3 linked regions of the Canis lupus familiaris genome follow. The protein of the gene in region 2 purifies or fractionates together with the protein of the main gene of each other region. This does not show direct contact. Links are inferred from orthologs where the notes say so. Each region holds a gene or a part of one and is shown on either strand. Other genes may lie near its edges. The genes, in order: CUL4A, DCAF8 and CUL4B.

Region 1 (10,941 bases), on a different chromosome or scaffold from region 2:
CCACACCCTGTCCCTCGTGGGGCTCTGGAAGAGCAGCCTGGGGAGGAGTGACTGTAGCTGCCACTGTGTGCCTGCTGCTGTGTGGCTGTGAAGGAGGTTCACACAGTCTGCTCCTCTTATTGATTTCTGCCCCTCAACTGTGTGCTTAGTACCCTGGAAAGCAGAGTGAGCATAGTCTCACCTTATAGAACATTTGTAGTTGGTGTATTTAAAGTTACCATTTAAGAGTCATGTTGGAGCTACAAGATCTGTTTCAAGATATGGAGACCTTTTTTTTTCCTTTTTTTTTTTTTAAATGGGATTTTTTTTTTTTAATTTTTTTTTAATTTTTATTTATGATAGTCACAGAGAGAGAGAGAGAGGGAGAAGCAGGCTCCATGCACCGGGAGCCCCATGTGGGATTCGATCCCGGGTCTCCAGGATCACGCGCTGGGCCAAAGGCAGGCGCCAAACCACTGCGCCACCCAGGGATCCCAAGATATGGAAACCTTAAGCTTAGTCATAGAAAGGCCCAGAATTATAAATTATATTATATATTTATATATTATTATAAATTATTAGAAAAATAATCAGCTGAAAGATGAGACTTGGTAACTCCCCCTTTGACAGATCTGCTTTCTGAGTGATAAACTAGATCAGGGGTAAGAAGGGGCAGTGAGCCGTCAGGGAGTGCTGCTCAAGCCCCTGAATTAGTGAGACCAGGGCTTCCATGACCTGAGGAATTAAGGAACATACCCGCCCGCCTGCTCAGAAAATGAGCCCTGCCTGACCGGGTCTGTCTCGGATTCCGGAGATTAACGTGCCTGCGTAGAAATAAGTTTTTTGTTTTGTTTTGTTTTTCATTTTATTTATTTATTCATGAGAGAGACAGAGAGATAGAGGCAGAGACACAGGCAGAGGGAGAAGCAGGCTCCATGCAGGGAGCCTGATGTGGGACTCGATCCCGGGACTCCAGGATCACGTCCTGGGCCTAAAGTAGGCGCTAAACCACTGAGCCACCCAGGGATCCCCCTAAAAATAAGATTTAGTTCTAATGCTGACTTGCTGATGGGATGTGCTTATTACTTTTGCTGTGTGATCTCAGGGCTTGACCACCTGCTTGATGAGAACAGAGTGCCCGACCTCACTCAGATGTACCAGCTATTCAGCCGTGTGAAGGGTGGGCAGCAGATCCTGCTGCAGCACTGGAGCGAGTACATTAAGGTGTGTGGGGCCGTCTCAGTGGGGTAACAACTATACCTCGGGTAGGGCAGGTGTCCTACCTCCATGGTATGTGGCATCTGGCAGAGGACCTGGGCAATCTGGAGACACCATATTTCTCTCCTGGCAGGTGCTTGGGTGGATAGCGGTCTTGCATTTCTTATTTCTTTCCAGATCACTGGTACAAACTTTTTTTTTTTTTTTTTTTTTTTTTTAAGACGACACCAAGATTATGAGCAGCACCTACAACCAGGTGCAGTGAAAGTCTTCTATTCGTTGTCTGCCTAGGCTCCATTCCAGTTACAACCACAATTTTCAGAGAGTCACCCTTTCTGTGAATCTGCTTTTTAAACATCCCATGCCTTTGCTCATGAGAATGATAACACATTTGGTGTGTGTGCCGCTTCATTTCCTGGCCACCTGGGACTGTCACTTTCACAATACTGTGATGTTTCTGTGGCACATTAGCGTGTGGTTATGGGAAGGCAGCAGGATGGTTCTTGTGCTGGTGCTCAGTGCCTGATCACGATGATGGGTGCACAAGGCTGCCCCGGCAACAAGTCCAGAGAACAGTACACACACATGGGAGACAGATAAAACTAGGGCAGCCTGGAGAAGATGGGTGCAGAGTACCTGTGCCTGTACCTCAACTGTGATGCTGCTCTATCATTTTGCCAAATGTTAGCTTCATGGGGAGCTGGGCAAAGTGTGTAAGGGATCTTTTTAACTCTTTATACTGCATGTGAGTCTATAATTATCACAAGAAAAAAAATCAGTTAAATAGAAGGGATAATGGGAAGCTTGCATGTGGCTTTATGGTATAGTCGGTCCTAAAACTTCATTATCTACACGTGGAAAGCTCATGCACAGGGGTACCACACCCTCGGAGACTTTGGAGACAAAATTCATAACCAACTTATGTCAGATCAGCCGAAGACCTGGGTATTATGGAAAGTCTAATGGAGAACAAGGGTGTTGCTGATGAGGAGCCCTTGGGACATGTGCCAAGCACAGGAGGTTCTTACCTTCGCACAGTTCAATCTGGGTCATCAAAATGAGTGAGGTGACCACCATTCCTCAGTGTCCACCAAGGATCAGCTGTCACACCATGACAGGAACACACAGTGTGGGATTATCACAGGAAAGCTGAACCTTGGCAGCGTGCGTGTGTGTCATTTTTAAATGCTGTTGGTGCAGAAGGGCACAGAGTAGAAAGTCCCAGCCCTGCTGGTCACACGGTGTCCCTCTCCAGAAGGTCTCTGTGCCAGTTTCATTTGTATCTCTTCACCAATAATCTGCCTCCACTTTACATATATGACACATGAATATGTGTGTATATGCTATGGAAACCAGTTTTCCAAAAATATGTATATTATTTCTGATAAAAGACAAAATTCGGTTGAGGAAATTTTGAAGATCTTACTGGCTTTATTTAGGGACTCATGAATACTGCATACAGATAGAAAGAAGCCTTGGAGAGCAGGATGATACAGAAGACTTCTAGGCAGGCGGGGGCAGAACAAGGAAGGTATTCTAGTGAAGAACAGTTGGCTATGGCAAGGTCACCTTCCTTAGAGGACAGCAGGGATCTGTGTGGTAGAGCACCTCACTCGTGCTGGCAAGCCCAGTGATGGACTGCTTTAGGACTCCATCCTCAGAGTGGCTGAGACTGCACTTAGGGCAGCAATAAATCCTGTCTGCTGGCCTGGGGCTGAGCACAGTGCCTGCATTTGCAACCTGCATCTCTCCCTTTTGAAACACATTAAATAGTAGTAATTGTAACCTAGCACAGTTTATATCATCTGGTAGTGTATATCCTGAAGCAGCTATTACTGTCACATACAGACTTTTGGTGATGTTGAATATAGCATTTTTGAATTAAAAATACAGGCTAACAGCTGGGCTATTCTTGGTTAGCAGTGGGGGAGTAAAAATACTATAGTCAAGAAGTCCAAGTGGTTGTGTTAGGTTCATGGGAACTTGTGTTTGAGGAATTCATAGGATAAAGGTTTTTTTTAATAATAAACACTAATTTATGAATTCTTTCAGAAGCAGAATTGTAACACTGAAGCATTAATTGTGTATATTCACATAATATTTTGAATGTGGGCTGAGTCTGTGAAACTTCTGAAATTATTTAGTATTTAACACCAACAGTAATTAATTTAAATTAAAGTATTATGGTTGTTTGATAGCAGGATGAAAATGTGTGATACCATTGCCGGTTGATGAATTGGTGTGTGTGTGTGTGTGTTCTTGTAGACTTTTGGGACAACAATTGTTATCAATCCTGAAAAAGACAAAGATATGGTACAAGATCTGCTGGATTTTAAAGATCGGGTGGACCATGTGATAGAAGTGTGCTTCCAGAGGAACGAGAAGTTCATCAACTTGATGAAGGAATCCTTTGAAACGTTTATCAACAAGAGGCCAAATAAACCCGCAGAGCTGATAGGTAGAAAAACATACTTCCATACCTAAGTTTAATATGGGAAAATAAGACAACTCAAATAAATTTTTTTCCCCAGAATGTTTAAACTCCTCTTGGGGAGGATGGGGAAAGATTTGTGTTATATCTCATGAGGACACATTTTTTTAAAACGTGTATATGTTACGTATACATATAAGCACGTGGTACTTCTATAGGAAGGGTGAACATAGTAGCAGTTTTGTAAAGATGACGCTTGAGGTCAAGGAAGACAAAATTTTATTTTCATATGCATTTGCTATACTAGTAACTCCAGAACCGTATTTGGTAAAATGAACCCTGTTTCTGTCTTGATGACAGCGAGTAATTTGTGCTCAGAAACTGGATGAAGAGGATTTGTTCTATACGAATATCTCTGTGTTATGAGGATGACTTGATAATCTCTAGAGTGTATTTACCTTTGCATCCTCTCATCAGTACTAAAGTAGGATAAAATTGGATAAAGTCCTAGAAGATAACATGGTTTAAGATAAAACAGTTTTATTACCACTGTATACAATTATGTCATCCTAATACCAAAACATATTTCAGGATTCACAGCCTCTCACTAGTTGAAGTTTTTAGGCAAAGAGCAAAGAAAGAAGTAGTAAATACAGTAAATTCAACATTGGGCTTATTGATTACTGTTGAGGATATGTGATGGGAACGTGGGGTTCCTTATACATTTTCCTACTTTGGTGTATGTTAAGAGTATTTCATAATAAAAATATTGTGAAGGAAAAACTATAAAAGTAGCAAGAAGCAGGGCCCCTGGCTGGCTCAGGCAGTGGAGCCTGCAACTCTTCATCTCAGGGTTGTGGGTTCGAGCCCCACCTTGAATGTAGAAATTACTTTAAAAAATAAAATCTTTTAATTAAAAAACAACAACAAAAAAAAATTCACAAGGCAGTGTAGTTTGGCCTTTGTGCCACTTTATGATTGCGGTTTCTCCAAAGATGGATATTTAACTCTTGGGGTTTGAGTTTCTGGAAGCCATGGTTGATCTATGTGGTCTCAGCAGTAAGAACCCCCCTGAACATCCCTGTGTTCAGGGGTGCCGCATCTCAGAGAGGGGGCGTTCCAATCTCTGGAGCAATGGTGTGTTGTGAAACCCAAGCACGTAATTAAAGTATTCTCAATGTGACTTGAAAATCCTTCACTTAGAAAATCAGATTATCTGCCTTTTATCATATAATAATGTCATTTTGGGAAGGTTCCAGAGTGTTGCTGTCTCTGCTTTTTTGCTTATAAAAACTAAAGATATTCTTTTTTTTTTTTTTTTTTAGAAAATGTATTATATAACAAATACTTACCCTTCAAATAACTTACACTTTTAATCTCACAGCAAAGCATGTTGATTCAAAATTGAGAGCGGGTAATAAAGAAGCAACAGACGAAGAGCTGGAAAGGATTCTTGACAAGGTCATGATAATATTCAGGTTCATTCACGGTGAGACATGCTCTACGCTATTTCTGTTAACATTGAGCATGGAGAAAAGGTTACCTAGTCCATCTGTACTGGGGCCCTGTCTTTTCTTGAGAAAAATTGAGACATTTCCACTTCCGTGTTAACACAGGAAATAGAGGGATGGCCGCCCACCAATTGCAAGTATTATTTTGTGGAAATGTCACTGTCTTCCAAGTTAGATCTGCTTGCAGCAGAATAAACACTTAGCGTTTCCACAGTGAATATTTGCAGATTAACTGATGTCTTCTGTCGTTCTCATTTGGTTATAAATAGGGAAAGATGTCTTTGAAGCATTTTATAAAAAAGATTTGGCAAAAAGACTCCTTGTTGGAAAAAGCGCCTCAGTTGATGCTGAAAAATCTATGTTGTCAAAACTAAAGCATGGTAAGCATGTGGGACCCGGGGTCTGTCCTTCCTCTGTGCTGGGCGTTGTCCCTGGTGGTGTTGATGCTCTCCACTTATGTCCCAGAATGCGGCGCTGCTTTCACCAGCAAGCTGGAAGGCATGTTCAAGGACATGGAACTCTCCAAGGACATAATGGTCCAGTTCAAGCAGGCAAGCTGGGTTTTTTTTTTTCCCCAAAGTAAAACAGCTGTATATAAACTCTCTCCCATTTTAAGTTATGTGAGGTGATAATGTAAATCATGTAAAGCCCTCAGGCTTAAAAATGACACTACTCATGTCTCACATATTTGAATGACTTAAATTCAAAAGGAAAAAGAAAATCCCTGAAATAACATAACAAAATTTGATTTAAGTAAATATAATACTGTGCTGTGTGAAAATTACACCATTTACCTTTCTATGAACTCGCTATTTTTGATGATATTCTACAATAGTTACTTAATCTTGATCTTTTTTGTTTTTAGTATATGCAGAATCAAAGTGACCCAGGCTCTATAGATCTAACAGTGAATATACTTACGATGGGATACTGGCCAACCTACACACCAATGGAAGTGCATTTAACCCCGGAAGTAAGTGTCTCAGAGAACGTTGTCCTTTTTTTTCATATATTGGTGCGGCCAAAGCATTGTAGACTTCTTAAACACACACGTGCACAGACATATTATCTGTCACAAAATATTTAATGAGTTTTTCTTTTCTTTCTTTTTTTAAGATTTCATTTATTTATTCATGAGAGACAGAGAGAGAGAGAGGCAGAGACACAGGCAGAGGGAGAAGCAGGTTCCACACAGGGAGCCCAATGTGGGACTCGATCCCGGGACTCCAGGATCACGCCCTGGGCTGAAGGCAGGTGCTAAACCGCTGAGCCACCCAAGCATCCCATGAGAGGGTTTTTCAAATCACACAAAGATCAGTGTCCTTGTGGTCTCTGGAAGGCATTGTTGCTCAGTGAATGTCTGTGTCCCGTCTGGCTCCTTCTCACCCCCCGAGTTCCCTGGCTGACCATCAAGAAGATAACGGCACTGGTATAGCACTACTTGGCAGTTGTCATTCCGTCCTGGTGTGGGCACTGCGGGTCTCGTGGGCGCCCCTGCTCAGGGCTTTGTAGGTCAGCCACAGCTTTAGGCATGCTGAGGATTTACAGACAGGAGGGAGGATCCTAGGCTTGGGAACTTAAAATCTCTTCACCATTCATTCTAATATAGGTGACGTGGAAGAGGGCTGCTTCTGGTGTGGGACCGGGAAATAGGAATGCAGGGCTGAGGGTCTCCTGCAAAGGGCCCAGAACAGTGTGGAGTTGCAGGAACTGGGAGCCCGGGTGGGAAACAGCCCTGTTGGGGCTTTTTGTTCCATGTCCAAGACCATGTCTTTCAGGATTTTCTTCTGTTTCTGACCCCACTGATTGCTTTTGTATTCTTTTTGTTTGTTTTTCATTTACTGTTGAAGCACAGTTGACATACTATGTTGCACATCTTCATCTGTTTTTCTTCCGCCTCTCCTCTGGACACTAATGCTCCCAGAGCCCTGGGCCTGAGTGCATGCGGACGTCCCGAGCTCAGCACCCTAGATTGCGCTGGTACCTGAGTCCCCACCCTGTGGGGTATTCGACTGCTGTTTACAGATGCAAAGGCTCTGTACTAAGCTGCCTGCTGGCTCTGTAGCTTCAGAACCTCCATGTGTCACTTCCAAGCGGAGCCTCCACCAGAACACCCGCACTCACCTACCACCTCACAGCGTTCACCAAGCCGGACACATCCACCCTGGCTGTGCCTCTTGTGGCCCTGCCGAGTTTTTTCGCTTCTTTTTTCAAGATAGTTCAGACTACAGGGACTTTGTGAGAATAGTTCAAAGAATCCTCAGAACCTGTTGCCTGTGTTTCCAGCCCTCCTATGGTGCTCATTCTCTTTGCGTGGATGGGTGGAACATTCCTGCCGTTTGGGAAAGGCTATCTCCTACCTCCTATCCCTAAATACTTCTGAGGTACTTACCAGGGCATGTTGTTGAGTCAGACGCTTGATGCTGCTGTAGTAATTTCATCCCACGTGTAGTCCTCCGATTTTGTCCAGATGCAGCCCAGACCCCACACTGCAGTCAGCTGTAACAGCTTCACTGCCCTCTTTCTGTTTCTTAACACTCATGTGTTTCAAAGCCACGTGCAGTTTTCATGAATTCTCTCCATGGGATGTTTGTGATTGAATTCAGGCTGTGCTTGTCCAACCAGAATCCCACATGGATTTGCTCAGCATGCTAATGCTGTCCATGTGCCCCTGTCAGTGGTGGTGGTGGTGGGTGGTCTATATCATCACTTGGTTAAGGTGTTAGCTGGTTTCTTGAATGTGGTTAGTAGTCTTCCTTTTGTAATTTAGAAGTAATCTGTGGGAAGATATTTCAAGACCACATAAACCTTTTCCCCATCAGACTTTCCTGCTGGGAATTCCTGCCTGAGTCCACTTTCATTGTGATGCCCCGCAGCTTTCTCTGCATTTGTGTGAACTCTCAGACTCTCGCTTACTTGCCACGGTGTTCACACTATCCTACATCCGGGTGCTGGGGCACCTCATAGGCCCTTTGTGGACTTTTACTAACTTTTTGTTTTCTAGCAAAAGATGCGTGAGACCTACCATACTGTGTCTTTTTAAAAATATACCTACAATACACGTATAAATAAATAAATGGTAGGCAGAGTGTACCAACAGTTTACCACTTTGAGCTGTACCTTTGACTGGCTCAGAAGTTTGTCATCATCCAAACAGAACCCTGCACTTATGAGCACTGCCTCCAATTCCAGCCACCCAGACCTGGGCATCCACTAACCTGCTGTCTCTGGATTTGCCTGCTCTGGGTATTAACAGAATTAAAATCACATTTTGTTGCCTTTTGTGTCTCACTACTTCCACTTGGCATCCTGTATTCAAGGCCCATCGATGCTGCAGCCCATGTCGTACTTTCTTCCTTTTTAAGGGTGAGCGATACTCCAGGGTGTGCTCGGATCATGTTTTTGTCTCTGTCCAGAGGGACCATCCCAAGTTGCTATAAATGCTATCAGAGCAGAGCACTTGGAGAAGACCGTGAGGAAGGAGCTCTTAAAGATAAGTGGGCATGGTTATGGAGGCAGGTTCCCAAGTGGAAGCCCAAGGGAGGACAGTATGGTGCCCTTGGTCAGGCAGAAGAGGCACAGGCCAGGCCAGTGCAGGTAGCGGTTCAGAAGGAAGGGACCTTGGCAAGCCTTTTACTCTTTATTCTAAGAACCTGGAAGTAGCCAAGGACACTGACAAGGGAATGAGCAGAGTGCACAGGGCCGTGAGCTGAGGGTGCCACGGTGTTCAGGGTAGATAGGAGACAAACCGAGGAGGGCTCAGGAGTGGACACGGGGTAGAGACATAGAGGTCTAAGCAATGAGTGTCACAGAGAGCAGGATCATCTCACTAGTTGAAGCTTGAAGCAGCACAGACCATCAGCTGTCCTGGGTGCAGAGTGGTGGGGACATCCAGGGAGCCGAGCAAAGAGTGGAAGATGGGGTGTGCAGCAGGCTTCCAGTGTTTGACAGCACCCGTCCAGTGGCGCAACACCAGTCCTGGCATGAGAGCAGGCAGGGAGCCCGAGACGTGTCAGGCTATGGCTGGGCCTGCAGACGGTGTCTCTACCTAGGGATGGCCTCTGGAATATATATATAACGTTCATTATATATGCCACTGGCCAGGGGAGCCCCAGTGGGAGGTGTGGAGACTGCAGACCACAGCCTGTTGGTACATTAGGTATCACTTCAGGTAGCATCTCATGTGAGAGGAAAACCCTGTTGTGCTAGAGTGGTGCACATCTTCATGGTCATAGAGTAATCTAGAAAGGGGCACCTGTGTGGCTCAGTGGTTGAGCTTCTACCTTTGGCTCAGGGCGTGATTCTGGTCCTAGGATTCAGTCCCACATCGCCACCGCCCACCCCCCACACCCTCACAGGGAACCTGCTTCTCCCTCTATCTGTGTCTTGGCCTCTCTCTATGTCTCTCATGAATAAATAAATAAAAATCTTTAAAAAAAAAAAAATAATAATCCAGAAAAATAACTGTCAAAATATAGAACTGATCTTTTCATTCAGCTGTGAAAAATTGTTAAATCTTTGTAAATTGAGCAATATGTGGTTCTTTAGATGAACAGTGTTTAGCATAATTACATTTGTTGTTTTCCTTCGGCAGATGATTAAACTTCAGGAAGTATTTAAGACATTTTATCTCGGAAAGCACAGTGGTCGGAAACTTCAATGGCAAACTACATTGGGGCATGCTGTTTTAAAAGCAGAGTTTAAGGAAGTAAGTTTGTCTGTTTCATTTACTTTTTATAAATATGTTACTAGAATCTTTTACATTGTGGTTGAACTTTGGTAGCAAACAAAGGAAGAGGTTATTCAGTAAAACTCAGCACTGGCTTTTCTGGGTCAATAAAATTAAATAGTTGAAGGATTAATATTCCAATCAATAAAAGTCAATAAGAAATCAATGGAAGTAGAAAAGCATTTACCTGAGAAAAGAGCAAAGGTATGCTGGTTTCAGCAGCACATAGACTAGAATTGAAACGGTACAGAGATTAGCATGGTCTCTGCACAAGGATGACCCACAAATTGGTGAAGCATTCTGTATTTTGAAAAGAAAAGAAAAAAGATCAAAGGATGTGTAGAGGCAACTCATAGAAGCAAGACTAAGAAACCAAATTCTTTTTTTTTTAATAAAATAATTTTTTATTGGTGTTCAATTTACCAACATACAGAATAACACCCAGTGCTCATCCCGTCAAGCACCCCCCTCAGTGCCCGTCACCCATTCACCCCCACCCCCCGCCCTCCTCCCCTTCCACCACCCCTAGTTCGTGTCCCAGAGTTAGGAGTCTTTATGTTCTGTCTCCCTTTCTGATATTTCCCACACATTTCTTCTCCCTTCCCTTCTATTCCCTTTCACTATTATTTATATTCCCCAAATGAATGAGAACATAAACTGTCCTTCTCCGATTGACTTACTTCACTCAGCATAATACCCTCCAGTTCCATCCACGTTGAAGCAAATGGTGGGTATTTGTCAGAAGAAACCAAATTCAGTGACATATGTTCCACTTCTCTGCCGGTCCACGGAGTACAGATTAAACTGTAGCAGACACTACACTGTCTGATGAGAGTTCAACCAAGGCTGAGAGTTTAAGGACCAGCGCCTCCTGCTAGCACAAGACAGAGCATGTGAGCTTTAGGGTAACTGCTTTCGCCGCACACCTGCAGCCTCTCATCACTGTAGTGTCAGTTCTGGGAATTCCTCTTAAGGAGACGTTTTTCACAGATTAATGAACAAGCCTGTTTGTTGCAGCGCTGTTATTAAAAGGGATGTTATAGGAGAGGGAAGTATATACAGTGTACTGATGG
Region 2 (10,941 bases):
CTCATGAATAAAATCTTTAAAGAATAAAATAAGAAAACAACAAACATGTAGACTGAGAAATCCAATGATCTCCTCACAACTAAAGAACTGTGGGCTAGTACCAGAAGGCAGATGGATTCCTTGTCAATTAGTCCTGTTCGCTTTCCAGTAAAAGCCATAATTTCCCAAACTTCGTTCTCTTGAAGGTTTATATAAGTAACCTGAACATCCTTTCCACAAGCCTAAAACATTTTTTAAATTCTTCCACTTTCTAGGGTGACTGGGTGACTCAGCTGGTTAAGCATCTGATTCTTGCTTTCGGCTTAGTTCATGATCTCAGGGTTGTTAAGATCAAGCCCCATGTTGGGCTCCAACTTCAGCACAGAGCCTGCTTAAGATGCTCCCTCCCTCTGTCCCTCCCATCTCTTTCTAAATTAATTAACCAATTAATTAATTGTTCCACTTTCTAAACAACCTTTTCTATAATTATCTCTCTAAAAATAAAAGTCTGGGCGCCTGGCTGACTCTGTTGGTAGAGCATGCAACTCTTAATATCAGGATTCTGAGTTCTAGCTCCATGGTGGGGTGTAGAGCTTACTTAAAAAAATAAAGAAGGGGGGGATCCCTGGGTGGCACAGCGGTTTAGCGCCTGCCTTTGGCCCAGGGCGCAATCCTGGAGACCCGGGATCGAGTCCCACGTCGGGCTCCCGGTGCATGGAGCCTGCTTCTCCCTCTGCCTATGTCTCTGCCTCTCTCTCTCTCTCTCTCTCTCTCTCTCTGTGTGTGTGTGTGTGTGACTATCATAAATAAATAAAAAATAATAATAATAATAATAAAATAAAGAAGGGGTGCCTGGGTGACTCAGTTAAGCATCTGCCTTCGGCTCAGGTCATGATCTCAGAGTCCCAGGATTGAGCCCCACATTGGGCTCCCTGCTCAGTGGGGAGTCTGCTTCTCCTTCTCCCTCTGGCAGCCACTCGCCCTGCTTGCGCTCTCTCAAATAAATAAAATCTTTAAAAAAAAAAAAAAAGAAAAAAATCTAATATCAACCAAGTTTGAGATTATATTCCCTAAATTAGTTTATATTCTACTTGTATTCTATGTAAATCAATGACATCCCTTACTTAATATTGGTATTGACATACAAGATTTCTTATAATTTTAAGATTAACAAGACCATAAATTATCTAGATAATTCATCAACAAGGCAGCAATAAAATAAACTGTATTACACCAATGCTGTAATGTAATGGTTAAGAAGACCTTTATGGTCTGATGCATAAAGATTTCCAAAACACAATTCAACGAAGAAAGCAAACTGCAGAAACTTACATTATGTATGTTTATACATACATATATTTATCCCATTTATAGGGAAAAGTGTATATATGAATATATGTTAAGATACATAAAAATATACAAATAGGACTGGAAAGGTATTCCAAAATTTTTAGCAGCAGCTACCAATAGCTAGAAAAGTCAGGGAGGGGAGGTGTGCCTGAAAGAGCATTTACATTTTGTCCATATACTTTATTATTTGAATTTTAAAAATAAGATATATTTATTATAAGAACAATTAAAATTTTAAAAACTAATTAGTAGCCATAATATAATCAGTTCCAAACATGGTGCCAGACACTATGCTGGACCATCAATCACATTTATCAATGACCCCCTCAGAGCCTAGGGAGAGAAGGAGAGATGGGTTATGCCCAAAGTAAAGCTGGAGAAACAGAGGTTCGGAATGGTTAGATAGCAGTGCCTGAGTTGCAATCTGACCTAGGTCCGTCCAGAGCCAAACAAGAGCTCTGTTCTTTCTCTGACATCACACAGCTGATGAGGGATGTCATTTAACCATGAGCCTCAAATTTATGTAGAAATGAGCTGTGATACAACAGAACTCTATTACAGCTACTAATATTTTAGTGTACGATTTATCACTTATTTTCATATTTCTATATATAATTGAACTGAAAACTACACAGGACCTAAGCTGCTCTGTAGATGCTTCCTATGGGTGAGCTGAGTGGCACCCAAGCGGACAGAGAGGAGATCAACAAGTAGTTATTAAAGCCCACATATAAGAGAACCGTATCTTGTTTTAGACATGAAGGTGGACTGAATAGTACGGTACTGCTGAGAAGCAGGCAAACAACAAAGGGAGGAAGTGCCCTGAACTTCAATCTGTTTCTTAGCACAGGCACAGAGGGACTCTTTGGATTGACCAGAGAGGTGGGTATTACCTAGGACACGTGGGGTATTTTCAAGGCCAAGAGGTCCAGTTCTGTAAAAACATTATCGCTATACTTACGAAGCTGGCCGGTCTTGTCTGAGGTCAATGGTGAAGACAACTGCATCTTCACCTGCGGACAGAAACGTACAGGGAGAGTCCGGTTCCAGGGCCAACTGAGGGAGAAAAAGAAAGGTTTCTACAGATCAGAGTCAGAAGCCATCTAGTTCATTCTGTTATCTTTAGGAAGGATTGCATTTTTAGTATCTCAACTAAGAGACATGTCTAGCTTTTCTGTTGTAAAACCCCAGGAAAGGAACTAAGAAACCCATTCACTCTTGTTCTATGTGAATTAGTTATAGCTTGTTTTATTCTATACAAGTCAAAAGGACAAGAGTTTTCTTATTTCAACTAAGTCCCCAAGGGATCTGAATAGTGATACCAAAGAAAAACTTCAACCATTAAAAAGGGTTATTCTTTTTTTTTTTTTTAATTTTTTTATTTATTTATGATAGTCACACAAAGAGAGAGGCAGAGACATAGGCAGAGGGAGAAGCAGGCTCCATGCACCGGGAGCCCGACGTGGGATTCGATCCCGGGTCTCCAGGATCGCGCCCTGGGCCAAAGGCAGGCACTAAACCGCTGCACCACCCAGGGATCCCAAAGAGGGTTATTCTCAAATAAAATCAATTCCACTCTCAGGGAGAGAAATGATGCCCAAGTTTTTTACTCTCTACATCTTAGTTGTAAAATTAGTTAACTAATGGGTTGAAGGTAGTAGGCTTAAAAATCAAAGAAATAGGTAACTTTCTTATTTTCTGAGCCATCTGGACTAGAAAAGGATATTCCAGGTCCACCTATATATTAGCTTAGAGTTTCTAAGAGAGGGCCACCCGCCTCTACAGCATGACCACTCTGAGACAAGGCAGCCCTCAGCTCCTCACCCATGCCCCTATGACTGTCTGTCCTATATTCCCAGTCCTAAATAGGGCTTCCAGAAATAGTGCTGTCTGTGCCCTGAGACCTAGGAGAAAAGTTGGAGCTCTCACATGTGAGGAGCCAACCACCAGGACCTTGGAGCTATTAAGGTGTTCTAGATACAAGCAAAGTAAATTTAAGAGGAAGGCAAAGGAGACCTCAAGGACTTCCAAACCGACCATTGGTCAGCTTAGGGGTTAGGCATAATTAATTGAATACTGTACACGCAAGATCTAGAGAGCTTTCAAATACTTCCAAGAAGTTTAGGGTGGTTGTTACTTCTCCTTTCTTATCTACAAATTTTAGGACTGGAAGAAGTGAAGCAGGTGATCATGACAGGACACACATAGGCAGAGATCTAGGAAGGTCCTGGCTGAGATGCCTGAGCAGCTGGACTGCACAACTGTGGGAGCAAAGCTTACTTACCTTGTGGGACGCTCCCTTGTGTTGGGCCACACGCTTCGTATTCTTGCAACACTGTGTAGCAGATAGCTCTGCTACCCGCACCTGCCCATCACGGGCACACATGGCCAGGGTGGAATCACCACTGTTAGGAAGGAACTTGGCCTGGGATGTTCATGAAAAAAAGGGATATACGAAAGAAATTGAGGAGGTGAATTTGAGAGGGAAAGACTGTAATAACAACCCCAATCTATCCCCTTGGTTGCACAACAGCTGGAAACTTAGCTCTCCTAGTCTTACTGTTGGCTCAAGTCCAATTTCTTCTAAGAGTTAAAGAAGAGGGAGGAAAACCTTCTGATAGAAGAGTATCTCAGTTGACACTGCAAGGACCTGGTATAGGATAAAGCGCTCAGGTGAACTAGGACTATGCCTACTAGGGGAAAATGTAAGGAAAAAAGGAGGAAAATCTATCTTAATTCAGAAAGCAAACAAATTTGCTACAATGACAAAGGAAAACAGAGAGGATACTGGGGAAGAGATTATGCCTAGGAATCAGTGCTAGTACCAAGATGATGGAGAGGGCTGATGAAGAAACAGAACAATAATGCTAATACTCATCAGATGTTCAGAAAGCACCAGGCATGGTTTTACACTGCTTAACCTCTATCATTATTAACCCTCATGGTCTTCTGTGTTACTAGCTCTACACTACAGATAAGTAAACCAAAGACAGACATTAAATAACTTGCCCAAGATCATGAAGCTAATAGGTGCAGGACCAGGAATTAAACCCAGTCTGGTTCAAGAGCCTCTGTTCTTACTCTGCATGCCTTCTACTAGGGCACACTTAGTACCTTCCTGATGACTTCCAAACACCTCTATGCTTAGGAAAAATAAAAGGTTGTCATTGGTCGCTTAGTGCATTTAACCCCTCTAAGTCATCGTGGGAGCACGCGAGGACTGAATCCTGCTGCCTTAATTCCTACCACATCTCACTATCAGCTCCCACTCTAGGCACCTCAGGCTTTTCTAACTCCTGCCTGACTTTCTCTACTGCTGTTCTGCTCCCCTGCCTCACCTGGAAGACATTGCTTTTGTGGCCGCTCTCAAAGTCCAGTACTGGCTGCCGCCGCACCCAGTCCCAAACCACCACTTTCAGGTCATCGCTGCCACTGGCCAGCCAGGTGCCGCGCTGGTTAAAGTGCAGGGTGTTGACACAACCAGTATGGCCCTCAAGCCCATGCTGTAGGCGGAAACGCTGCACAAAGACTCTTGCTCCACAAGCCTCGTATACAAAACGGGCACTGGAACCCAGCTCCCGCTCCCGCAGGGCAGGAAGGGCTTGCCAGCGAGGTCGGGGCAGGGCGGATGTCTCTGAAGACACCCAGTCCTCCAGGGCCCGCTCATCATCTGACGAGTCCTGGTCACGGTTGGCCCGCTTCCGCTGGACACGGCGCCGAGGATGCTCTTCCTCCTCCTCCTCTTCTTCTTCTTCTTCCTCTGAGCGGTCATGGACTTGGTTTTCATCATTGATGGAGTAATGGCCAGTGTCCTCCATGCTGTCAGAGTCCTTGTCTTCACCTGAGCTCTCTGTATCTGTACCCCGACTTCCTGTGCTGATGCGATTGGGGCCACCATCATCCCCAGTCAAGCTCAAGCTCAGGTCCGAGGCTTCCACTTCAATGCCTGAGGATGTCTCCCTCCCCTCCTCAGCGCCAGACATCTCCTCTGGACTGCTAGACAGGCTTCCTGCAGGTTAGTGAGGAATGAGTGGGTGAGGGGGGGAAAATAAGGAAATGGGATAGTGATCAGAAGCATAGCCCCTCCTTAGTCCCAGAAATCATCACATCAAAAGACCCAGAAACCAACTCTGGTTAAGGTGTTTTTTTCAAATGCTTATAAAAACTAACTTCTGGGCAGGAATCTGAGAAAGGACAAAAAACTGAAAAGATTAAGACCAAAGCCACATGCAAACAAAGGTATTTCACTATAAGTGAAGAACTGTAGGACAGCCTAAGAGTCTATCTTGCAAAGCATGGGCAGCTGTGTGGAAGTACATCCTATACAACCACCTGAAGCTCAGTTCTGCTGGACACACATCCAGCAGCCACAGCAAAGAATTAAACTGAATATAAGACAAAAAGAAGGGATCCCTGGGTGGCGCAGCGGTTTGGCGCCTGCCTTTGGCCCAGAGCGCGATCCTGGAGACCCGGGATCGAATCCCACGTCGGGCTCCCGGTGCATGGAGCCTGCTTCTCCCTCCTCCTGTGTCTCTGCCTCTCTCTCTCTCTCTCTCTCTCTGTGACTATCATAAAATAAAATTAAAAAAAAGACAAAAAGAATAGCCATCCCCAGGAAGAGCTGGTATAGTCATCTTCTTAGAGGATACAAGATAGCGGATTAAAATCACTCTGACAATGGGTGTGGAGTTGAAAGATTTCCTACTTAAAGAAAGCACCACTACCTCCTACTTTCTAAATCCTAATTTCTTGAGGTCCTAAAATCCAATAGCAATCCAGGAAGAAGTAGAAGGGACACGTGGGGATTCTGACCATTAGAATGGGTTAACTTTTTACGAATAGATGTATTCTGATTTCTATTAATTTAATAATGTTAATAGGACTTTTAGTTACAGTCTTTTTTTTTTTGGAACTTTTTTTTATCCAGGTAGAGTTTTATTAGGATGCATATGCAAGGGCAGCCCGGGTGGCTCAGTGGTTTAGCGCCGCCTTCAGCCCAGGGTGTGATCCTGGAGACCGGGGATCGAATCTCACGTCAGGCTCCCTGCATGGAGCCTGCTTCTTGCTCTGCCTGTGTCTGCCTCTCTCTCTGTCTCTCATGAATAAATAAAATCTTAAAAAAAAAAAAAAAAAAGGAAGCATATGCAAAATTGACGAAAAGCAGGGCTTCGTGAGTGGTATCTGAGAAAGAAAGTTCACCATATTCTAAGTCTGCCATGTTGGTGGTTGTAACAGAACGGAGTCACTTTGAGCACTCTCATCCCTGACAATTAGACACTGCATTCGCCTACCTAGCAACAGGCAAATCATATTTCAATGAGCACTCTGAGGCAGCCCTGGTGGCTCAGCAGTTTAGCACCTGCCTTCAGCCCAGGGTGTGTTCCTGGAGACTCAGGATAGAGTCCCACATTGGGCTCCCTGCATGGAGCCTGCTTCTCCCTCTGCCTCTCTATGTCTCTCATGAATAAATTTTTAAAAATCTAAAAAAAAGAAAGAAAAAAAAATCTAAAAAAAAAAAAAAAAAAGAGCACTCTGGCCAATATGACCATAACTTCCACACTGAAGCCAAGGTATGAAGGAAGGAAGGCAGGAATGAGGACTTTAAGTACCGTTCACAGTCTCCTTTCCTGATGACAGACTTTACCTTGCCAGAAGTAAAGGCTGTTAGCAACAGCAGACCAGCTATGTGAAACTCTGGTAGGAGCTATCCAACCCCACAAGGATGCTGAAAGGATTCCAAGTAGCGCCTGACAACTTAGTCACCTGGAGTAGAGCAGTAATTTCCAAAGATCTTTGCAGCAATGGAACCTCCGCACGACAAACTCTCAGGCAAAACCCGACACAGAAAACTGATGAACAATACAAACGCATTGGTTGAAGTGGTGACTGAAGGTTGGGAGACTCATAAACAGCTCTTTTCAGAAAGCACCACAACTAAGATCCCAGCATGAAAACAAACGGGTGTAGGAACTGGAAGAAAAAGGGGGAAAGTGCAGCAATTCGCCCCTAGGAACCACACTTGCTGAGACTGCTGTGAATACTGAGAAAGATTAGTAGTTGTGGTTTCTCAAATACAATTGGCTTTGAAACTGGGAGTGGTGAGAAAGGATAAAACACCACACATTTCACTTCTGCAGATGAGGAAAACTGAAACACCAAAGCTCCCAGCATTTCTTGTTAAAGTTATGATTAGCCAATCAAGACGACTTGGAGGCCCTACCGCATTAATGTAAGGGCCAGCAAATTACAAGCTCAGCAACAGGACCCTAACAGTCAATGACCAAGATCCAGAGGTTGGCAATTTTTTTCTGTAGAGGGCCTTCACAGGCCATATGGATCTGTCACAAGTACTCAGCTCCACTGTTAGAGCACAAAAGCATCCATAAGCACCATGTGAATAAGGCATGACTGTGCTCCAATAAACTTTACAAAAACAGTGGGTGGCTGGATCTGGCCTGCAGGCCACAGTCTGCTAATGCCTGATCTGGCTAATGGCCAAATTCCAAATCAATTATATACCTCAAACCTGAGTTTCTCAAATGAACCCAGTGAAGAATCTCAATCACTTTCTTTTACAGAGATGAACGAACAGCACTGCTAAGAGAACACAGGGGCAATAAACCAGGTTGTTGAAAAATCTCACTTTCCCTTACTCAATGTCGTTGCTCTACAATCACATCAACTAGAATTGAGCCTATAATCCTGACCTGCAATGTGCTGAGGAATGCTGAACTCTATGCTGTCCAATTATATCCATTTGAAGGACATGTCTCTAGTTTAGAAGCTGGCCCAGGGTTGAAGCACTGATCAAATAAACCATTACCAAAACCTTCAAACGGGCCCTGGACCCAGTGAGTTCACACCCAGCCAGACCCCACAAAGAATGCAGGCCAGCCCTCACTCCAGTCAGTGTGGGCTGTAACTTCATCTCTTGTCTGCTGTCTCTACCAAACTAGGACCTGCTGTAGAAAGAGACCTCTTATCACAACTGGGGAACCTCACCTTCCCACAACTCCCTTATTTCCACCACCAACTGATCTTTCTTTCCTAGGTTTCATCCACTCTTACCACTTTTCAGAATTCCAAACTACCTGAACTCCTCCTAATGGCACAGCTCTATTACTGATCTTCTGGAAACAATGAGAAGTTGAACGAACAAAAGTACCGGATAGTCCAAGGTGTCTCCTGCATAGTGTCCTACACATAAAACACAGGAAGGGTCCACTCTTAGGAAAGATTTCCTCCGCTAAAATCCAGGTCTCCACTTTCTTTGGGGAAGGAAGAGAACCTCAGGTAGCTCCTTACCATTGGCTAAGTCTGTTTTGCCATCTGCGCTGCTCCCTTTGCTGGACATCTTGAATGATGTTTATTGTGGCCAGCCTGCATTTAGGAGAGGAAGAAAATGAAATAATTACGAAATAATCTAGAAGAGAAGATAAAAGAGCCAGGACATTTAACCATGCACACAGCCTTTGTCATTTTCATAAGAATGATTTTTCTGAGGGGCGCCTGGCTGGCTCAGTTAGTGGAGCACGTGATTCTTGCTCTCAGGGCTATAAGTTCGAGCCCCACATTGAGTGTAGAGATTGCTTTAAAAAATTAAAAAGAAAAAGAAGATTTTTTTGAGTGTGTGCTCAACAGGGCTCATTAGCTCCTGACAATCATACCAGGGCCCCATCCCCCATGTCTAAATTTCATAACAGAACATATCTTTGAGAGGTCAACTGCCATCTCTCTTTTTTTTTTTTAAAGATTTTATTCATCCATTCATGAGAGACACGGGGGGAGGGGGGGTGGAGGGCAGAGACACAGGCAGAGGGAGAAGCAGGCTCCATGCAGGGAGCCCAATTCGGGACTCGATCCTGGGACTCCAGGATTGCGTCCTGGGCCAAAGGCAGGCGCTAAACTGCTGAGCCACCAGGGGGTCCCTCAACTGCCATCTCTTTACTGAGTAGCTGGCAGTGATTTCTGAGATGAGAAAGAAGGAACTGAGATACCACCTGTGCCAGCACATACCCAGTGACAGGTACTGCACACAGAGGACCATAACCTAGAAAGCTACCTTCAGCCTTGCCCTCTAGGCAAGAATCTTCTGTTGCAAATTTAGTCAGATGGATCACCCATAAATTCTATGAAAGACTTGTCTTCGTAACATGAACAAGGGGGCCAGACTCTGAATATCACATTACACACAAATCAACAGAGACAGAAGAGACCAAGCTGTTGGGGTGAGAGCCTGGGCTTTAGGTTCACTCAGATGCCAAGCTTCAAGCTCACAGGCACAGATATTAATGAAGAATTATAAGCAACAGAGCCAAATTAGAATTCAGGAGCACCCTCTCCCCAAGAAAGAACCTAAAAGATTTCTTTTTTTCCTTTTACAACTAAGTCAGCTGGGGAAGAAGCTTGTAAAGGCCACATTTCCATTAAACTATCTCAGTCCACTTTAAAAACGGCAAATGTTCTTCTACCCAATTCCACCAACTTTCACCAGATCTGTTTAGAAAAGTCCTATCTGGCAATCTGGGTACCTAGCTTTTCTCCTTTCATACCACTGTTAACACATTCATTATTTTTACAGGGCCTCACTCCCACCTCGAGCAAATTCCAAAGAGCAAAGAATAATATTATTCAGACCAGAATTTTGTTAAGCCCTTTCAGTGCCTAGACAAAAGGCACTGGTCAAAGACAAAGTATGATTATGACTCCAGTCCTCGTACCCAGGCACACTGGCTTCTAATCTTTCAACAGCCCTTTCATTCACATAACAATTATCCCAGAAGCAGCCTCATCCTTATCCTGACCCCCTACTCTCCTCTACAGAAATCCAAGTTGCTTCAAAAACTGTCCCCTGCCAGGAGACAGCTGCCCAAAGCTTGCTTGGCAGGCCAGGGCGGGGGGGTGGAAATAATGCACGGGCAGGCTGAGGCTGAGTCCAAGGAAGGACCTGGAAGGGTGCTGGGAGACAACGCCAACAAAGCACAGATTTGTGAAGCCACGTCAAAAACAACAGCGAAGAACGGTTTGCAGAGTAGGCTGTTTTCCTCCTCCTACTCCAAGGAGGTATTTTTGTACAGCATTCCTCACACAGCACTGGCCTTTTCCCATTGGTAGTCCCTGTATTTATTCTTGAGAATCTCAGCAATATCTTCTTCCCCATCTAGGGTTTAAGTTAATTATATTAACTGCAAAAAGTCCTTTGAGGCGGGAAAAACAAGTGTGCTACCTTGTTAAGATTAAAAACTTGGGGGATGCCTGGGTGGCTCAGCAGTTAAGCGTCTGCCTTTGGCTCGAGCATGATCCTGGAGACACGGGATCAAGCCCCACATGAGGCTCCCTGCATGGAGCCTGCTTCTCCCTCTGCCTGTGTCTCTGCCTCTCTCTCTGTGTCTTTCATAATAAATAAATAAATAAATAAATAAATAAGTAAGTAAGTAAGTAAGTAAGTAAAATCTTAAAAAAAAAAAAAAAAAAAAAAGATTAAAAACTCGGGTCATTAAGCACACGTTCTGGTCAACTGAGAAGAGATTCGATGTTCTCACCTCCAGAAGCAAAACTCGCAACCATACCAGCCATATTTTTCACCCCACCATTATCATCTTCTAAAGAAGA
Region 3 (10,941 bases), on a different chromosome or scaffold from region 2:
ATACTTGAAATATACCAAAAACTAAGAACTTGCAGAAAGGAAGCCAGACATGAAACCTAATTTTTCTTTTTACATCTAGGAAAAAAGGTTTAAATAAGACTAAAATTACCAAGGATTAAGAATTTGTAGTTGCATACTTTTTAAATTGCAGAGATAATATTGTGTACTAACTCAATAAAGAAAGAAGCAATATATGTGACAGATTAAACTTAAAAACATCAAGAGTGACAACAATTAAATAACTTTACATAGAATACAATTAATTACTCATCAATATAGAATACAAAAGCTGGTCATCTCTGCTAAGAATCTAACTGCTCTTCTATAACTTCTGACTGCTTAAACCACCAGATTTTACAATGGGTAATAACCTATACTGAGAAGGACACACTATTTGCTTTCAGTCTTACAGTCATCTACTTGATAAATGAAGCGTTACTAGGAAAGTTCATTATTTAAGATTTACTTCACAAAAAGCTAACCAGAGTTCCCATTATTAATAATAAATAAAATTATTTCCAGCAGAATTGAAGTATGGATTAGGCTTGTCTTCAAAGAAAACAGCTAGACATGTTTATTAAGAATAAATGTTGGGAAAAAAAAAAGAATAAACGTTGGGACGCCTGAGTGGCTCAGTGGTTGAGTGTCTGCCTTCGGCTCAGGGTGTGATCCTGGGATCCGGGATCGAGTCCTGCATCAGGCTCCTTGCGGGGAGCCTGCTTCTCCCTCTGCCTGTATCTCTGCCTCGGTGTCTCTCATGAATAAATAAATAAAATCTTTTTTTAAAAAAAGAATAAATGTTATACTTTCATATATAAACAACCAGGCAGTTCCAAAAAAAATGTAGCTGATTTTAAAACACTCCACAGGGATCCCTGGGTGGCGCAGCGGTTTGGCGCCTGCCTTTGGCCCAGGGCACGATCCTGGAGACCCGGGATCGAATCCCATGTCGGGCTCCCGGTGCATGGAGCCTGCTTCTCCCTCGGCCTATGTCTCTGCCCCTCTCTCTCTCTCTCTCTGTGTGACTATCATAAATAAATAAAAAATAAAAAAAATAAAACACTCCACAGGGACGCCTGGGTGGCTCAGCGGTTGAGTGCCTGCCTTTGGCCCAGGGCGTGAGTCACGGATTGAGTCCCACATTGGGCTCCCTGCATGGAGCCTGCTTCTCCCTCTGCTGTGTCTCTGCCTCTCTCTCTGTGTGTGTCTCTCATGAATAAATAAAATCTTTAAAAATAAATAAAAATAAATAAAAATAAAAACACTCCACAGCTACTTATACAAAGGCTGAGAACATGAGGAAAATAATCCCTTTACTTAAAATACCAAAAATTCCAACTACTATAAGATACCACATGTAAAAAACAAGACATATTCTTGAGATGTAAAGGACACTGTTCCTAGAGAGTGCCTCTCTTTTTCTATTATTTTTTTCAATTTGGCTAATGGTGTCTACTGACACATATTTGGAATGTAATCTATTTATCAGCCGGCTGTTCTGGCCCAATGTGGATTTAGAATTTTAAAACGTGTGGCTTTAGAGCTGTATAATAAAGTATAATCTTAAAATAAAAGTATCTTTTTAAAAGACTCTTATTATCATCAACATCACTGGTGACACCAATAAATAGCAGACATTGTAATAAGTAATTTTTTGCAGTATTTTACAGCTAAACAGCCCTGCCATATAGGTAACATTAGTCTTCCCATTTTACAAATGGGGAAAACAAAGCTTAGATAAGTAACTTGCCCAAAGTTATTATGAGTGGCAGATCTCTAATCTAAGCAAGCTGATGAACTCAAAGATCAGTGCACTTAACCATACTATCTGTAGAAAATCAAAAACAAGCAAAAAAAAATCTCCCAAAACCAAAACAACATTAACCACTGCCTCACACTTGTAGGATTTCAAGGTTGTCCAGGAAGATAATTTTTAAGCTCAAGTACAATTCTCATTTAAATCACTTTTTTATTATTTATTTATTTATTTATTTATTTATCTTTATTTATGATAGTCACAGAGAGAGAGAGAGGCAGAGACATAGGCAGAGGGAGAAGCAGGCTCCATGCACCGGGAGCCCGACACGGGATTCGGTACCGGGTCTCCAGGATCACGCCCTGGGCCAAAGGCAGGCGCCAAACCACTGCGCCACCCAGGGATCCCTCATTTAAATCACTTTTAAAAGACATCTGTTTCTTGCAAATGCACTCAAAACTACATGTTCTCTTCTAGAAATTAAAATTTTAGGGAGGCAGTACATGCAATCCACACTAGGGACTTCCATGCTTTAGATTTAAAACTTAATGGTTTTACATGCACGGACAAAAGTTCTGCACAGACACATGTGAAATAAGCATTTACTTCAGAGATAGAGGCTACAATGGGGGAGTGAGGGATTTGGTGAACTTTTGCTTGGTATACTACATACTTCTATCGTCTCAATTTTATGAGAATACTTTTTTTTTTTTTTGCCATTTCTCCCCTTACACTCTCTTTAGGAGTACTTTTTAGGGGTGCCTGAGTGGCTCAGTTAAGTGTCTGTCTTCGGCTCAGGTCATGATCCCAGGTGATCTCAGGGTCCAGGGATGGAGCCCCAACATTGGGTTCCCTGCTGAGCAGGGAGCCTGCTTCTCCCTTCTCACTCTGCCTGCTGCTCTCCTTGCTTGTACACATGCTCTCTCTGTGCAAATAAAATCTTTTAAAAAAATAAAACATTAAAAAAAGGAAGAGTACTTTTAATTTACATTTCAGTCAAAATTAAACAAGTACCTGAAATCCAGATGGTACAAAACAATTTTACTCCCTTTATCTTTTTATCCTTTTTTGAACTTGAAATTCTCAAAATAAACTCTCTGAGAATAATCCAAAGGGAGCATTTATAAAATTAGGGTGAAAAACAACAAAAGAGCTAGAAACAAATACTTTTGAATTTACTTCAGCAAAAATAGTAAAGTACTGTAAAAAATATAGAGAGTAAACAGTTATAACACTGTTTTTAGGCTAAAGAAATACAACTGAACAATAGCAGGTGGTAACTCTGAATTAGATAAAATGAAAAACACAAAAATGCAAGCTATGAGCTCTTGAAACAAAGGAAATTTAACAGAATCAATTTATCAGGAAAATATTTTTGAACCCCAAAAGTCTATAAAAATATTCAAGGTAAAGTAAATAGGGTTCATTAACAATCACAGCCAATATGCTATAAATATAAAATGTATCCAAATAATCACCATATACATACATACACACACACATATGAAAAAATTTATTTGGTGACAGTTTTTTTCCCTAAAGTAAAACTATTTATTTGTCTCTTACATACACTACACTATAGAGGCACTTGAAGTGCTGTGGTGTATTATTGAAGCAACACAGTAGTGAATGTGCACTGGACTTGAAAATTGGCCATCTCAGTTTGAGTCTGGGCACGTTATTTAACATCCCTGAGACTCGATTTCCTCATCAATAGAGGAATAATAACTACTACTCTACTTGACAAAGGGTTTCTATAATACTGAAAAGATATAAAAGATAAACCTGATTTGTAGAGGGCCACCTGCACTATATGAAAAAAAGCTACTGGACTACACAATTTCTTAAGGTCTTTCCAATTCTAATTCCATAATTCTACTTTTATTACTGTACAACTCAGAAGCCTCATATGTAACATACCAACATAGTCAAATAAGGTGGGCTTATCCTTAATAGCTTTGTACTACTTAACACAGTGTTATAATGATTATATTGTGTAACATTATTACTATGTGTTGGGCATGTTCTGAGTGTTTTCCATGCACTGACTCCTTGAGATTTTCACAGCAATAGAACCTGGTGATCGTAATTGACTTATTACAAGTAAAAAAAACCACACTGTGACTTATGCAAGAGCTTTACTACATCATCTTATATTTCTAGAATATAGCATTTCAAAGTGTTTTTGAGGTAGATAGGACAAGTATTCTTTCCCCTATTTTACAAAGGAAGAAACTGAAGTTGAAGGAGGTCTAGTTTCTTGCTCAAGATCACAAGGGTAATAGCCACCAAAACAAGATCCCAAATCTGTCTTCAGATTCCTTACAGTTTTTTTTTTAATTTTTATTTCTTTATAATAGTCACAGAGAGAGAGAGAGAGAGGCAGAGACACAGGCAGAGGGAGAAGCAGGCTCCATGCACCAGGAGCCCGATGTGGGATTTGATCCCGGGTCTCCAGGATCGCACCCTGGGCCAAAGGCAGGCGCCAAACCGCTGCGCCACCCAGGGATCCCTGTCTTCAGATTCCTAATACAGGGTTTAACCATTACCGTAATATCTCTGCAACTAAAATGAATAGATAAAAATTACAAATTCTGATAAATCAAACCACTTAATTTCTTACAAGGTACTTATCAATATGAAAAGAACAAGCAGGGCACCTCGGTGGCACAGTTGGTTAAATATCCTGAGTTTTTGGCTCAGGTCATGATCTTGGGGTTCTGAAATCTCAGGACCCAGAGTCAGGCTCCATGCTCAGCGCAGAGACCGCTTGAGATTCTCTCTCCCTCTGCTCCCCCCCACTGCTCATTAGCGCACGCACTTGCTCTCTAAAAAATACACAAGCTATTGGATTCTGAAGTATTTTTCTACATGAAACTGCTTACACTATAATGCAAAGTAACTTCTTGAAGTGGTTGCGTCAAAAATACGGTACGGTAGGGCAGGGGCCCCCGGATGGCTCAGTTGGTTAAGTGACTGCCTTCGGTTCAGGTCAAGATCTCAGGGTCCTGGGATTGAGCTCCCATGTCATGCTCCCACTCAGCGGAGAGTCTACTTCTCTCTCTCCCTGCGCCCCCTCAGCTTGTGCATGTGCACTCTAATAAATAAATAAAATCTTTTAAAAAATACAGTAGAGCAAAATCATGGTAGTAAGAAGTCTAAATCAGTAATTGCCCTTAATGGTATATTTAAACTGAATACTTCAAGTATAAACCCATTTATAAAGCAAAAGAAACAAACCTGAACCTCAGATCAAGTCACTGTACTATAATCTGCTGATTTTTTGGCTAAAGACAATCTTGTAGCCCAGAAAATAAAACAAACATGAAGAACAAGAAGAAGAAATGGCAAGGACGCCTGGGTGGCTCAGCAATTGAGTGTCTGCCTTTGGCTCAGGGCATGATCCCCAACCCAGGAGTCCCACATTGGGCTCCCTGAGAGGAGCCTGTTTCTCCCTCTGCCTCTCTCTGTGTATCTCTCATGAATAAACTATTTTTTTAAAGGAAAAAGAAATGGCAAAAGGCTACTAATATGAATGAGGGAGGATAAAGCATATAGAGAATATCTACATTTCTTGAGGCCTTTCCTATAGGTGAGTAACACCACTTAGGGATAAGTACCATAACAGAATGACTTGTCATCAGAAATCACACCTTTGGGATCCAGGCTGTATGATTCCATTATAGGTAAACCCTTGATAATACCAAGGTATTCCTCACTATAAATCCCAGTCAGAAGGGTCCAAGGTAAACCCAATATATACCAGTATGACTATACTCATAGTTTATGTCAGAATGTTAGAGTATGTCAGAATATGTGGTCTGATTATAAAGCAGAGTACATAAATCAAGACATTTTCATTAGAAGGAAACCAAAAGTCTACATAAGGAGTCATTTCAAAGTAAAATCCATATTTTACATACTACTTCAATTTATGCTTGCCAAATCTGGTTATCCACATTAATACATACCTGGTAGAGTTCTTCTAAATTGTACTTAATTGAAGTACTATTCTGGATAGCTTCCACTGCTTCTTTCAGCTTCTGCCATGTTTCATCTGTGTAGTTCTCTGGTAATTTAGGCTTATCTAGGTGATATGTACAAGGTTGATATCAGAATATGTAGGATATAGTAATGGAAGGCTCCACTAAAGTACAGTAATAGTATTATTGCTTTTCAAGGGTAAATTGTGATTTTTATAATCACAACATCTAATTATTAAAGTAATTACTGCTTTTTAGCCTTAGCATAAAGAATAAAATTTGAAATGCCAGAATACTGTTTAAGTCATTTTGACTCACCTATTAAAATTAAAGGTGAGAGGTTTTTTTTTCAATTGACTGTATTGCTTTAAAAAATCAAAATTCAAAAATCACAGATAAAAACAGTCCCGATCTTATTCCATCACATGTAAATCCTAAGTCAGTCAACATGAATTTTGCACCTAAGATTTAAAATACTGAATATCCACTGTGCACACAGTACCTTACAAACATCTTAATCTCCCTAACAATGCTCTAAGGAAGGTATTATTTATCTCTATCTTACAACGGAGAAAACTACTGAGGCTAGAAGACTCATTTAGTAAGGCTTGCCCAAGGTCATTAAAGCTAATCAGTGGCAAAACTGAGATTCTAACCCAACTCTGTTTGACCCCCACATTTATGCACCATCTACAAATGAAGAGAAACATCTTAACTCAGATTTTAATTTAAACTACATCCATGAGCAGAGTAAAATTTAAAAAAATTAAAACATCCAAATGACTCCAGAACCTCTGTAGCATTTTCAGAATGGACAGGACTACCTTAAGCCAGGCTTTAAACTTCATTGACCAGCAATGAGTATTTTTTAAATTAAAATATCCTAATGCCTTAAGGATATGTTTTTAGTTTAAGAGGGAAAGAAAAAACCCAAACAAAATCTCAGAAACCAGTATGCAAATTAAATTAGGATCATAACTCCTCTCTTTAAAAATCCTTGACTGTTAAATTGATATACTTTGGAACAGTGAACATATTAGTCAATTACAATTCACATTTACTTCAGAAAGGTCTACTATTAAATCAGAAAGATTACAACACTCTTAAGAACCTGGGGATGGGAGAGGAGTGATAGGAAAAAAAGGTTAAAAATAAACACTATAACCCTCTGCTCTAGACAAAATAGAGCATATTTCTGATTTCCACACTAATGTTGAAAACACAAGCACTGAGAATCTAATTTTCTCAATACTGATATTTAGCCACAAGACACTTATCTGGTAAATACTACTTCAGTTCATTCATTTACTTTTGTATTTAATAAACATCTTAGCATCTATTACCTGCCAGTTAAGGATGTCGAAAAACTTAAGTCAGAAAAACAAATACAGTCAACAGAAAAAAAGTAATTCATTTCAATTATGTTTTTAAAAATTGTTGATTTTACATGCATCAATGCACTCATAATACTCTTAATCACATATCTCAAACATGAAATGAACAAATTTTCCTAAAAGCTGCAGGTCAGTACTTTAAAGCCCATTTTAGTGAAAAAAAAAATAGATGTAGTAATTGTTCCTATCTTTAGACTAGTGGTACACAGAGTTACTACTTTTGTGTATACAGTATTTTTCACTTCCAAACCCTATCTTTGGAAAGATATGCAGAGATCATAAATATTTTTCTCCAAAACTGCTTCCACAAGGAGTTTCAAGAATATAGTATCCAACATTATAAATCTAACTATAAATCATCTTTGAGCATGAAAAGATCACCAATGCTACCTGCATTTCTAGGGACTAGAGAATGTGGCCTACTGAAGCATAAAAATAAAAATCCCAGCAGTGCCAAAGCTCACTATGCACCTGAAACAAATAAACCTCCTTAGAATACAAATTTCTCACCTGTATAATCCAGATCAATCATACCGACTGGCAATGTTACACTGAGTAACAGATTAAACTGAGCCAGACATCAAATACTGCACAGAAACACGCCGGTGTATGCTTCAGCACAAGAATACTAACCACCCCCGGAAAATGAACCCTCCACCCAAAAAAGGACCTCCCTCCACCTCATTGATTATGCATAAAACATTAGGCCACCTCTATACTGTTTAATATATTAACATAAATAGAGCACGTGACCGCTCAAGTGTCAAATCCTTAGTCAGTGATTATGGATTTTGGCCTTGGTTACCTTTAAAGTTCTTGATCACTAACTTCTTAGCAGACCCAGGCTTGCTGTTAGCAAAGCTAGAAGTGGTGGTAGAAGATTTGGCTAGGCCGTTTGCGTGATGCACCGAAGCCACAGAAGAGATTAATATACTCTTATTTTTAAGTTGCTGCTGCTGAGATGTTGCAGCAGTTGGTGAAGATGAGGAGGAAGAGGAGGAGGATTCCTCAGCCATCTTCGCATCAAACCCTACAAACTCCAGGGTGTCTTCAAAACGCAGCTTCTTCTGTATCGGTACGTGGCTGGAAGTAGCCACTGAAACCCCCAGGCAGAAGGACGAGGTTGAAGGGGATGCCGAATCCCTGGGTTGTAAAGGAGGAGTGGATGAGGAGGAAGAGGTGGAATCAAAGTCTTCTCTCTCGTTACTACTGTTACTGCTGCTACTGCTGCTGCTGTTTAACTTTCTCTTCTTGGCAGAGGTGGGCGGAGTGGTGCTGGTATTACCATCAGTGGCAGATCTGACCTCCTGAGCAGCAGCAGCAGCTGAGGGATTGGGGGAAGAAAAACCTGTTGGAAACATGAAAATAGCGGGGTCAACAGGCAGAGGAGCATCAAAAACCTACGTTTATATGCCTGCGTGCGTGTAGGAGAGAAGGTGGCAATGCTAGAGGGGGGAAGGGAAGAAAGAGAGGAGAAACACAGAGGACGAGAAGGAAAGTGAAGGGGGGGCTACACCGGGGGAATGGGAGGGTTTGGGAAGGCGGATAGGCTGACACCAGGAGTGAGCAGAACGAGGGGGGAGAGCGAATGAGGAGGCAGACAGGTAAACGGCCGTGCCGTCCCCCTCCCCTGCTTTTCGGTCTCTCTCCCCCCTTTCTGCAGGAGCGACTCAGTGAGTCTGTGAGGCTGCAGCTCCTCCTCCTTTTCTCCCTCTCTCTGGGAGGGGAGATGCCGTGGTTGGGGGGAGGGGGAAGGGGGAGGGGGAGAGAACCAGGGCTTGTTATTGTCAATAGCACAAGAGGCTAAAGATGGCGCCACTTCCGGTCACGCGGCGGCGAGGGAGGGGCGGCGTCTGTCCCCGGGAGTGGGGGGTGGAGAGAAGCACTGCAGGCGCCCGGGGGGCGGGGGAGCTGGCTGGGAGGGAGGCGGCGGGAAAGCGGCGGCTAAGGCGCCCCAGACGGTCGTGCTCCTTCTCTCGCTCTCGCTGCCCCCCCTCCCGCTCCCTCTCCCTGGCAGCACTCTTCTTCCCTGGCCCGCCAGTAACTGCCACCCCCTCCTTAACGGTCCCGCGGGGAGCTTCGCGCTGCAGCGCCCTTACCGGAAGTGACTGGGCAGACACTTTTCATAGCGCCCAGGTCCCGAAGCCCCCAGGTCCGCAGGACTTGAGTGGGGGGGGATGGGGGAGGGAGAAAGGGGGGGAAGAGAAGTGGAAAGGGAGGAGGGGGCGGGCTTTTGAGACACCTCCCGAGTTGCTGATTGGAGCTTTCTGAACGCGAGGCGGGCGGGGTGGGGGGAAGGTGGCGGGAGAAGCAGCGGGAAGGAGCCTGAAGGGGAGGGAAGGTGGTGACGGTGAGGGGCGGGGTGAGCTAGCTGGGAAAAAGGAGGAGGAGGAAGAGAAGAAGGGAGGGAATAAAAAGTTAGGGAGCGGAGAATGGAAACTTTGAAAGAGATAAAGGAATAAGGAGGGGTTGCAAGGCAAGGGGAGTAACCCGAAATGGAGGAAAACATAATCATAGCATTATGCCTGCTGCCAAGCAGGAATGTCATGATGTTAAAATAGGAAAGGAAAAGAAAAAGATCTTAGAGAGAAAATGAGTTTTTGCTTCGATTGACCTATGCATTGTTTATCTTATGTCAAGGACGCCCCTAACCCAATATGAAAAGGACCTGAATTTTGGTACCTTTCTGAGTAATGTAGCTACAAATCTTTTGACCTTCCTAACAGGAGCATTTTTCTAAGATGGCTGGCCAGAGTTGAGGGTGCATTATAAGGCCCAAGAAACAGGAAGGTAACTAACACCCCCCCCCCACACACACACACAGAACACAGTTCCCAGGACCAAGCCCAACCCTGATCTCCTCCGTTGTCAATCCAGTAATTTACAGACTAAACATAGCTACTTTTACCAAATCTCAGCTCATACACTGTTTTGAAGAACACATTTGAGGAGAATGATGTTCACAAAAATCAATGGTTTCTAACAATGTATTCCACAAGCCCAAATTTCAAAATGGATTACTTGTAAGAACAAACCTCTAAATTTGGTTAAGTTAGTAACAATAAACCTTGTACATTTCCTGCTAGGAGTTTTTATTTAACCTGAGGACATGGGGGGCAGCACAATGTCAAATAAAACAAGATCTGCCAACCTGTTTATCGTTCTAACTGCAGAAACATTCAGTAAGTATGTACTGAAAGACTTTATGCCACACACTATACCAGGGCCCTGCCATTGAGAAACCAGTAGAGGAAGACATTTTCTTTTTTTTTAAGATTTATTTATTTATTTATTCATGATAGACATAGAGAGAGAGAGGCAGAGACACAGGCAGAGGGAGAAGCAGGCTCCATGCAGGGAGCCCTACACGGGACCCAATCCCGGGACTCCAGGATCACGCCCCGGGCCAAAGGCAGGCGCCAAACCGCTGAGCTACCCAGGGATTCCCCGACAAAGACATTTTCAAAATGAATTTCCATAACAGTTCTATAACAAATGTATAAAGTGCTCTGGAAACAGGTGAACCAAGGGATTAGGACGAATTTTGGAATAGTTTCACAGAGGAATTGTTTATGCTGGGTCCCAAAGTGGGCACTGCCAAAACGACAAGAGGGGAAAAAGTGAAAGGCATTCTGGATAGTGGAAATGGGCTTAGCAGGCAGTTGTGAAAGGTCCTGGCCTGTTTATGGAACTATGGAAAGTGCAGTGAAGTTAGTAAGATGTCTGGTTGGAAGTAAGGAAAATGAGATTCTGGAAGGCCTGGGTGGCTCAGCAGTTGAGCATGGGCCTTCAGCTCAGGGCATGATCC

Evidence for each region.
Region 1: the proteins of DCAF8 (region 2) and CUL4A purify together in Homo sapiens (affinity purification with western blotting; 11 studies listed by BioGRID and IntAct, counting the BioPlex papers as one, with this or other methods). This does not show direct contact. The link is inferred for Canis lupus familiaris from reciprocal best matches to the Homo sapiens genes DCAF8 and CUL4A.
Region 3: the proteins of DCAF8 (region 2) and CUL4B purify together in Homo sapiens (affinity purification with western blotting; 7 studies listed by BioGRID and IntAct, counting the BioPlex papers as one, with this or other methods). This does not show direct contact. The link is inferred for Canis lupus familiaris from reciprocal best matches to the Homo sapiens genes DCAF8 and CUL4B.

The regions. Positions count from the first base shown.
Region 1 is NC_049243.1:60,806,173-60,817,113, forward strand, and holds part of CUL4A (cullin-4A), read left to right. Parts: intron 1-1,084; coding exon 1,085-1,203; intron 1,204-3,462; coding exon 3,463-3,655; intron 3,656-5,012; coding exon 5,013-5,117; intron 5,118-5,408; coding exon 5,409-5,519; intron 5,520-5,604; coding exon 5,605-5,690; intron 5,691-6,004; coding exon 6,005-6,112; intron 6,113-9,733; coding exon 9,734-9,847; intron 9,848-10,074; exon of another isoform or gene 10,075-10,178; intron 10,179-10,941. UniProt on the Homo sapiens protein: Core component of multiple cullin-RING-based E3 ubiquitin-protein ligase complexes which mediate the ubiquitination of target proteins. As a scaffold protein may contribute to catalysis through positioning of the substrate and the ubiquitin-conjugating enzyme.
Region 2 is NC_049259.1:22,798,724-22,809,664, reverse strand, and holds part of DCAF8 (DDB1- and CUL4-associated factor 8), read right to left. Parts: intron 8,710-10,941; 5' UTR 8,684-8,709; coding exon 8,635-8,683; intron 5,339-8,634; coding exon 4,668-5,338; intron 3,755-4,667; coding exon 3,614-3,754; intron 2,386-3,613; coding exon 2,291-2,385; intron 1-2,290. UniProt on the Homo sapiens protein: May function as a substrate receptor for CUL4-DDB1 E3 ubiquitin-protein ligase complex.
Region 3 is NC_049260.1:93,250,925-93,261,865, forward strand, and holds part of CUL4B (cullin-4B), read right to left. Parts: intron 9,371-10,941; exon of another isoform or gene 9,261-9,370; coding exon of another isoform or gene 9,233-9,260; intron 8,482-9,232; coding exon 7,939-8,481; intron 7,770-7,938; exon of another isoform or gene 7,666-7,769; coding exon of another isoform or gene 7,644-7,665; intron 5,844-7,643; coding exon 5,728-5,843; intron 1-5,727.